2 linked regions of the Coturnix japonica genome follow. The protein of the gene in region 2 purifies or fractionates together with the protein of the main gene of each other region. This does not show direct contact. Links are inferred from orthologs where the notes say so. Each region holds a gene or a part of one and is shown on either strand. Other genes may lie near its edges.

What was found.
Region 1: the proteins of POLB (region 2) and LIG3 purify together in Homo sapiens (affinity purification with mass spectrometry; 3 studies listed by BioGRID and IntAct, counting the BioPlex papers as one, with this or other methods). This does not show direct contact. The link is inferred for Coturnix japonica from reciprocal best matches to the Homo sapiens genes POLB and LIG3.

The regions. Positions count from the first base shown.
Region 1 is NC_029534.1:3,402,336-3,406,809, forward strand, and holds the start of LIG3 (DNA ligase 3), read right to left. Parts: upstream 3,011-4,474; 5' UTR 2,856-3,010; coding exon 2,378-2,855; intron 2,052-2,377; coding exon 1,914-2,051; intron 1,489-1,913; coding exon 1,291-1,488; intron 860-1,290; coding exon 708-859; intron 234-707; coding exon 67-233; intron 1-66. UniProt on the Homo sapiens protein: Isoform 3 functions as a heterodimer with DNA-repair protein XRCC1 in the nucleus and can correct defective DNA strand-break repair and sister chromatid exchange following treatment with ionizing radiation and alkylating agents.
Region 2 is NC_029537.1:4,115,196-4,119,681, forward strand, and holds the start of POLB (DNA polymerase beta), read right to left. Parts: upstream 2,954-4,486; 5' UTR 2,877-2,953; coding exon 2,816-2,876; intron 2,749-2,815; coding exon 2,691-2,748; intron 2,551-2,690; coding exon 2,484-2,550; intron 1,981-2,483; coding exon 1,906-1,980; intron 1,426-1,905; coding exon 1,367-1,425; intron 253-1,366; coding exon 203-252; intron 1-202. Other genes in the region: olfactory receptor 4S2-like, read left to right, coding at 4,149-4,486.

The sequences.
Region 1 (4,474 bases), on a different chromosome or scaffold from region 2:
CTTGTGAAATGTAGATAACCACTCCTAATTTTATGGTCAGCCTTCAGAGGCTCTTTAATCCCTTACCTGCGAGTGATATCTTGCAGCACACTTTGCTGGTCATCTTCCTTAGTAAGCTTAGATAGCTGGATGAGAAACTCATCTACCTCTTGGATGGTCAGGAGGCTTTTGGCTGCAGGAGGACAAGATTTGCTCTGCTCAAAGAAGAGGCGTATTGTCTCAGAAACATCTCCCTGTCTCCAAGAAGAAAACAAGGGTGTTGGTCAGAGCAAATGGGAAAGCTACTGCTGGAGATTCAACATGATTCCAGCAAGCACAGGACAGCACAGAAACAATGCTGCAACTGCATGAAGGAACTGCAGCCAAACATCAGAATAAAGCTGCCATGACACAGAATACATCTGCTCAGCCACTTCACTTGCAAAAATGCATGCAGAAGTACTACTATCATCTGACTGCTGTATTTTATTTATTACTGCTGCAGCATCCCAGGCCCCGTATTTCCCCAGGATTAATCCATTTGTAAATCCAAGAATCTCTGTCCAGTGGTGTCGTTAGAAGGCTCTATATATCAAGGTATATATCAAGACAACAAAGGTGAAGGAATTCACCCATTTTCTTTGTCTTGCTATGGAGTTGGATACATGCACAGTCAGCTACCAACTCCTGTGCACAAAGAAATTAAGAGAGATGCTTTTTGTACTCACCTGTTCCAGGTCCCGGACCATTTCTTCTTGGCTGCAGTTAAAAATCCTACTGAACAGCTTTACAATCTGCTTATCATTCAAGTTGTAAACAATTTTAATGATGCCTGGTAAGAGCAGCTTAATGGTCAGGTATACGTCGCCATGAAAACCATCTGGAAAAAAAGCACACACCATTAGAAACTGTCACCATTCATTTTCATTACAGGCTCAGGTTATTTGTACTCATTAACATGACTGAGGGGAAAAAAACCAACACAGCTGTGTCTTCCTTGTTCCACTGCACTGCTCTGCTACATGTCAAGGGACATTTTTCAGGGGATCCACAATTTCTCTCCAAATCTGATACCGGTGCTAATTTAGGGGGCATCTACAAACAACCACGGCAGTTCTGACCCAAGACATTCTAATCTGCATTTGTTCTTTAGATAGCAGTTCACTTTGCAGTCATTCTCAGTTCAGAAATCACTCTTTGCAGCCTGAAGAACAATCTGATTTTAATTCTCCCTTCCTTTTGCCATAATAACATGGAACTTTAATTTTGAGAGAGCATTCACATGCAGAAAAGGCAAAGCAGGAATCGTACCTCCTCCACTTCCCTTCTTCAGGAAGTCCTGGATGATCTGTGTTTTCACATTGTAACTAGGCTTGTCAGCCACCATAGCACAGAGCTTCCTGAACTCTCGCAGCAAACAGTCTTTGTGCTTGGGATCACAGTTCTTTGCAGACAGGCTGGAGTTGTGGGAAGAGTTTGCGGACACTTCTTCAGAATTCTTGGGCTTGGCTGAACGAAAGCCAACAGGTTGTTCTTTTAATAAGTACAGTACAGGCAGACTTTGAAGACGAGAACACATCTATTAGGTAATCTGAAGAGAACAAACCCACTGCGGTGACGAAGCTTCAGAACTGAATAATGATGTGCTACCCCAAAATCTGGGTCTAAATTTTAGTTACATTAAAAAATACATGTATTTTTTTTCCCCCCACTTATTTTGTTCAGGATTTTTCTCCCTTAACTCTACCAGACAAATACAGTTAAAGCCTCAATGAAAACAAACTCCTGCTGGCAGATGCTTCTATCTTATTTCTGCTTCATGCACCTTCACAGGAGCTCATTGTCCTAATAACACTGTTAAAGTGACAAGGAACAAAACAACAACTTGCTGCTATTGGAAGAGAAGGATTTCCCAGAATCATTTTAAGACTCACCTGTGAAGCCAGAGAACTTCTTCGGATTGGCATTAGCCAATGGGTCCTTCTGGGGGCTGGTTATTTGTCCTGTGGCTGTGAGCTTAGCCTGAACTGTTGCTTTTTTCTTCGGTGTACTCGCAGCTTTGGACGTAGCTTCTGTAAAGCAGCAAGTCAAGGGTTCAAACCAGCAGCCAGTCATAATCTACAGCAACCCTGAATGTATGTAAGATATATTGGAACAAGCAAGTTCTCAAACTGAGGATGGAGGGACATTTCTCATACAGTGAATGGCCCTGCCAGGCAGGGGGTTGGAACTACATGATCCTTGAGGTCCCTTCCAACCCGGTTCATTCTGTGATTCTGTAACGTTCTGGGCAGCCCACAGCAAAGGGCTGGAACCAAAGGGTCCCTCCCAAACCATTGTGCAACTACAAGGTGAATACACAGCTGTGCGGTGCCTGGTGTCCCACCTGCAGTCTCACCTGAGATGAGGTTGCTGATGAGCTCTTTCTCCCCATCCTGCAGCTCTTCCCACCCTTCCAAATCCGTGATATCTTCAATTTTCTTAGTGCTGGCCCGAGCTTTCTCCAACTTCTCAAACATACACTTGACGTGGTACCACTCCTTCATATCCCCACCAGACTCCGTGAAAGGGTTGGGAACGATCTTCCCTATACGCACCATCCCCTTCACTATCTTCTCCTTGCACTTCTTGCATCCGGCCGTGCCTCGTTTGGCGTAATCCACGCAGTATCTCTGCTCGGCCATATCCCCACTGCAGGCCCGGCCCAGCCCCGTGTGTGCGGACAGAGGGACGAGGAGCCGAGCAGCACCAACACAAGGATTGAAACTCACACAGCGCACAGCCCCGCAAAGCAGCAGCCGGTACCGAGAGCACGAGCGGAGTGTGGGCCAGCACAGCGACAGAACACGAACGGCACGACACAGAGCAGCCAGCATCCAGCCCGGCCTGGGCCCTGTGAGAGACAGAGCGGGGCAGAGCGGGGCTACCCGGCAGCTGGGCCGCGGAACAACGCCGCCATCACCGCCACAGCGCCCAGCACAACCCGCCCGGCTTTAGGCCTCACCCGCCGCCTCCAGGCCACCGTACAACAGTGCGCATGCGCACAGCACCGCGCCCCCCCCCCCCCTACCGGTATCCCGGAAGTGCCGTTCGAGCATGCGCTGTGAGCGTTGTGCTCCATTCCTGCCACTAGGCCCCGCCCCCTTCCTTGTTAGCCCCGCCCCCTGAGTCAGCCCCGCCCAATCGCTGCACGTGCTGCTGCCTCGCGCCGTTTCCCGCCTCTGGCAGTGTCGCGTGCTCCGGCGCGTGGCGCCGCTGAGGTGATACCGCACGGCCGCCATATTGTGCTGTGATGGTGGGGGTCTGACGGGCTGCTCGACCCCAAACGGGCACTTCAGGCTCCACAAAGTGCCCTCTGGGAGCACTGTGCTTTGCCCACCCAGGTCTGCGGTGTTGCTGAATCACTTGGGGGCTCTCATTGCCTTGCATTGTGTTGCTGTGGGCCTGAGGTGCTGCTCTGTGTCCGGCCCAATGGAGCCCTCACAGCCCCGAGGTGCTGCAGCATCACCTCATCACCTCAATGACTCAAGAAATGCTTGGATGTGGTGCTGAGGAATATGATTTAGCCTGGAAGTATTGGGAATGGTTGGGCTAGAAGATCTAGGTCTTTTCCAACCTTGATAATTCTGTGACTCTGGGATCCCTGACCTGCTGTGCTGTCACTCGGTGTGTCTGATGCAGTCTGTGAGATGGAGGGTTCTGAATTCACATCACCAGTCTTGTTAGTGCTGTACTGCAGCCCTCCAGCAAGGACAAGGTGAATTACAGCCATCTTCCTTGTTTTCTTAGAACGCTAATCTCCACCTACACAGAGTGGGCCATTTGGAGCTGTGAATGAGGATAAAACCTGGAAGAATTGGGATGATGTCCATTAGGTGAGCATTTCTTGCTAGTAAAATATGCCTGTAAAGCAGCAAGTTGGCATTAATTTGCGGTAATTCAGAGTGCAGGACTTTGCTCTCAGTGCATTGCATTCAGAAGAGAAATCAGCCTGTCCCTTGTGGTGCCAAAGTGGTGGGAGCCCTGAAATGGAAGAACTGAGCTCTCCAGGTGAACCCAGCACAGCTTTGAGGCCCTGATGATGAGCTGCAGCGGGTTCAGGGTGATGGGGGAGTCCTTTACAACTGCTGCTGGCTGTGCATGGAAGGCATCTATGTGGCACCATGGGATGCTGAACAGAACACTGTGTGTGAGAAGCAGCTCCAGGACCACATGTTTGACAGAGCAGGGCTAAAGGTAGGGAAGTTTAACATACTTCAATTTTTCATTGTTCCAATTACTTGATGAAAAGTTGCGCCGTCAAGAGATGATTTACAGATGCAATCATTGCCTTATCTGGTTGAAATTAGGCAGCTGAGCAACCTGCCGGTGGTTGGATTCGCTTCTGTTAACTTTCAGTGTCTAAAAGTCAGCAATGATCTAAAATAGGCTGCGTGTGATCGGTAGAGCAGCCTGCAGAGGGCATTGCGGAGGCTCGAGCTGGGTGAGATGAATT
Region 2 (4,486 bases):
TCAATAATGGCTCTAACAGGCTCATAATGCCTCTAGCCTGTGCACTACATTTAGATTAGCTAGTTGTTGTTATTTTATCAATACAGTTTCCTCAAACTAAAGGCTTATCTGCTATCACACTGTTACCGTGAAACAAGCAATGCAACATAAGAAACATTATCAGAGAATAAACTGAGGACCCAAAGTTACACTCAATACTCACCTTCTAAAGTCTTAATTCCTTCCTCTACAAACTTCCTAGCGGCAGCAGGACTGCAAAAAAGGCAAGGCATCACGCAATTAGGAACAGCAGGAACCTTACAGCACTACAAAGGACATCACAGTTCACTCAAACTGCCCTGATTTTTCAAGGTTGAGATTACGGTTGCTTGCAGCGCTTATCATCCTTTTGTCATGCACATTTTAGCTTGTGTTTTCAAGCAACAGAGACAATTATCCAACTGCACATTTTTAGTATTGATGGAACTACATACTGATGTATGATTTTAAAAAGTAAACCAACACAATCTCACCAAACAGCCAGCACAGCTTTAGACAAATACTAGTATGGAACTGAAGGCACAAGGACTACATTCACTATTAACAGCCTCTGAATCAGCTTAAGGCAACAATGCAAGTGTCTTTAGACTACAACTTAAAAACAAACAAAAATCTACACAAGACTCTAGCTTGCAACCTACACTACAGAAAAGCAGCTTGGCTGAAGAGTTTATCATAAGCACAACATAAACACCCACAACCTTTCAGCAAATCTTTCTTCAGAATTACTGAAGCACCACTGCATCTCCTGCCTTCCACCTCAGGCAGTCTCAATATTGCTTCTCCTTCCCCACAGCATTCCACCCAGTTCTGTTTTTAAGCACCGATATTCTATATTTAGCCAATCCTGTTCTTGGCAAGCAGTATCACAGCCCTTCTCACTCAAGATATTGACTACTGCTGCTCTGCACATGCTAAATTAAGTGCCTGTCTGTAGACTGAGCTCTTTTTTTGCCAAAATTTCCCTACGCACAGTATGGGAACAAGAACAGGCCTGAGAACTCCTAATATAATCTTTCTGAAAAGTCCTGTTTTTGAGGGGTTGGCAGGGCTCTGGATCTCCTTTTACAAACATGGTACAAATACTATTCTCCCTAATCAGATTTTGCACCATAAGTCTCACAGGCTCCTACTATGTCTTCTTGATTTTACTTTTCTCAACCTTCCGATTCAGTTTCTGATCGCCTCCCTCCCTCCTTCCCCTCTCAGCTTGCACACAGGAGCTTTCTACTTCCACTCTTCTACTGCAAAACCTGTAACTGACAGCTCTACAACTCTGACAACAACCACTTCCCCCCTGCACTAACAGATAATAACCAAGCTTTACCCAATTCCAGTAACTCGTGTCAGGAAGTTGATGGAAGCACTTGTATCATCTTGTCGAATCTGCAAGAACATAATAATGTGAACAAGCTCTTCTTTACTCCATTTCAGTAGACAAAGAAAGCTTATAAAACAACTTGGTCAGATTCTGCTTTGGAGACCTACCGTAAATCAGAACAAAACAGTGTTAACAATAATACTATGCATTAGGATGGTGCCACAATGTACCATTCCTGCAAATTAATTGTCTTAACTGCCCATACTAAGGTAAACAGCGTGGTTAAAACTCAATTCCACAGCCTTCCAGAGCCTGCATTCCACTTCTTACAGAAGACATTCATGTGCCAATTGTACAATCTAAAATATAAGTAGACAGTTCAGAGGCTTTGCCTAAGCTTCTTGTTCCCCACTTTACTTTGCAGAGTGCTTGACATCAGTCCCTCCACAGAGAGGGACAGAAGCTGCACAAAAGCAGCAGACCAATTCCCAAAGAACAAAGTAAAACAACTGCTGAGAAATAAAGCACAAAGGAAAGAAACACACCTTTTCCAACTTGCGGAGCTTTCCAGTGGATAAAAACTCATCTATTTTCTCAGCTATTTTAGCACCTACTCCATCCTAAATGTTGAGGAAGGATGAAACACAAGTCAATTTCAAGGCCACATACAGCCATCACAGCTAAGAAAAATAAAGCTCAACAAAAAGCCGTGAAGTCACAGAAACCATTTTAAAACATTGTTCTATGAGAGATCGGGAGCACTGAAAGGTACAACACAAGCAGCACAAACTCAGCACTTCAAGTGCCGCATTACAAACTCGCTGAAAACAGTTATTTTAAACTGGGTTTTGATTCCTGCAACTCCAATTCCCCAAACTTGGTGAGACAGCAACACAGCAAAGCGGAAACCTGCCTTGCACAGAAGAGACCAGCTGGAGTCCCCAGCTCAAGTCTATGAGACCCCCACAGCTGATGCGCTCCGCTCCCCCCTTCCCTGAGCCGGCTGCCAGAAGCTGACGCAGGCAGAGCCGTTCGCACATCGCTTCCCTCCTCCTGGAAACCTCGGTACCGTCCTAACGCAACTCCTTCACCCCGAGAAGCCCAAATTCGCCCCGGGACCCACCAGCTTCTTCGCTTCGGCTCCGCTCTGGATCCTGCTGGGGTACCGGGAGATGGCGGAGGCCGCTTTCCTGCGGAACGGCATCGGTCAGAGCCCAGAGCCGCGCAGCGCTCAGCCCCCAGCACGGCTCGTGCAGCGAGGCCGGGCCAGACCCCCGAGAGCCGGGAGCGAGTTAAAGAAACGGGTCAGGCCTGAGGAAGGAGACGGTACCTGTACGCGTTGTACTTGTGGATGGCCCGGCTCACGTTGCGCTCGTAATTCGCGAGCTCTACGGGGAGAAACACAGTCGGACCAGTCGAGCCGAACCCCAGACCCGCCCCCCGCGCCCCCCATACCCATGAGGAAGTCCGTGATGCCCTGGTTCAGGCTCTCCTGCGGCGCTTTCCGTTTGCTCATGGCGGGCAGCAGGAGCGACTAACACCGGAAAAGCGGCCGGCAGCGCTTCCGGCGGTGACAGGGAAAGGCCGCGGTTCCGGCGGGGAGGAGCCGGGTTGGGTTCCGCGTTCCGCCGGCACAGCGCAGGCGCGGCCGGCAGAGGAGTGGTCCGGCCGGAGGGGAGGCCCAGGAGGCCCTGGAGGCCCCGGAGGTCCCGGAGGTCGGAACTCTGCTGCTGCTCGAGAATCAGCCGGGCATTTGTTGTGGTTCACTTCAGAACATAATGCGGAACTGTGGCAGTTGTAAAGCATTGTATTGAGGGCTGCGGACGTTATGTTCCTTGGGACACACTGGTTTCTTTTTAAGCTCCTCGTGTTCTATGTTGGAGTTGCACGTAGCTATAATCAGTGAAGGGTGCTGATGGAGATACCTGCCTGGTCCCTGTATATCCCAGCTAATTTAAACGGCAATATGGGGTTTGGACTGGTTTCCAAGTGCTCTTCCCAGTTCCTTATGCACGTTCAGGGTGCCAGCTTAGGTACTATGCTATCAGTCTGTCTGCATGTATGCTCTGCAAGAGTAATTTACGTTATGTAGAGGAAGCCTTCCCAAAAATCAGAGAATGGTGAGTGGCAGGAAATATGATGAGGTCTAGGAAAGAGGTTAGAAGCTTGGGGACCCCTAGTGTCATGGGATTTTACTCTTGAACACCTGTGGGACCCTGAGAAACTAAGTGAGTATCTGAGTAAGGGATGGTGCAGCTCAGAAAGATCTGAGGAGGAATGGCTTATTTGGGGCTTGGCTTGTGCTTACCGAGCTCTATATAACACTATTGTGGAGAGAGAGAGTTCCCAAACTGAGATCCAAACCAAAAGTTTGGATCAGTCCGAGTCAAAAGTCCGAGTCAATCTTGGTCACTCAAAGGAGGCACCAGTATCAGTGTCAGTTGCCCCTGTGGAAGGCCAGAAATGGAAATGGGTGTCTCACAAGGGTTCTCACAAGGGTTGTAATCATAACCTTGGACTATAATGGGGGAAAACATCCTGCCCTGCGCCTTTGTTGTGCCTCTCACTGTCCTTCATAGCACAGTGACTGTAGGCTCAGTCCTTCACAGCCCCAAAGGACCAGGATGAAGGAGCACATGACAGCCATGGCCAAAGTTTCACTCGCGGAGAATGAAATACCCAGGGGGAAAAAATGGGGAAAGCAATGCTTTTGTAGGGTTAATAGTAATTCTATGTGCTTCCCAGTTTCTGGTACAGAATTCATTATTAGTGATGATGATGATATCAAATGACATCTCTTTGGTTTTCCATGTGCACAGGCTGTCTGTTGTGTATGGCTGCCCAACTGACCAATGCAGTGATTACAAGTCGTGTGAAGGAGTTCATTCTCATCGGCCTCTCTGAGAGTCGAGGTGTGCAGGGGCTGTACTTTGTGATGTTTCTTTGCTTCTATGCAATGAACGTGGTGGGAAATCTGCTCATTATTGTCACCGTGATGAGCAGCCAACACCTGAACTCCCCCATGTACTTCTTCCTCTGCTACTTGTCCTTTGTAGACATCTGTTACTCCTCTGTCACAGCTCCCAAAATGATTGCTGACTTCCTTGTCAAAAACAAAACCATCTC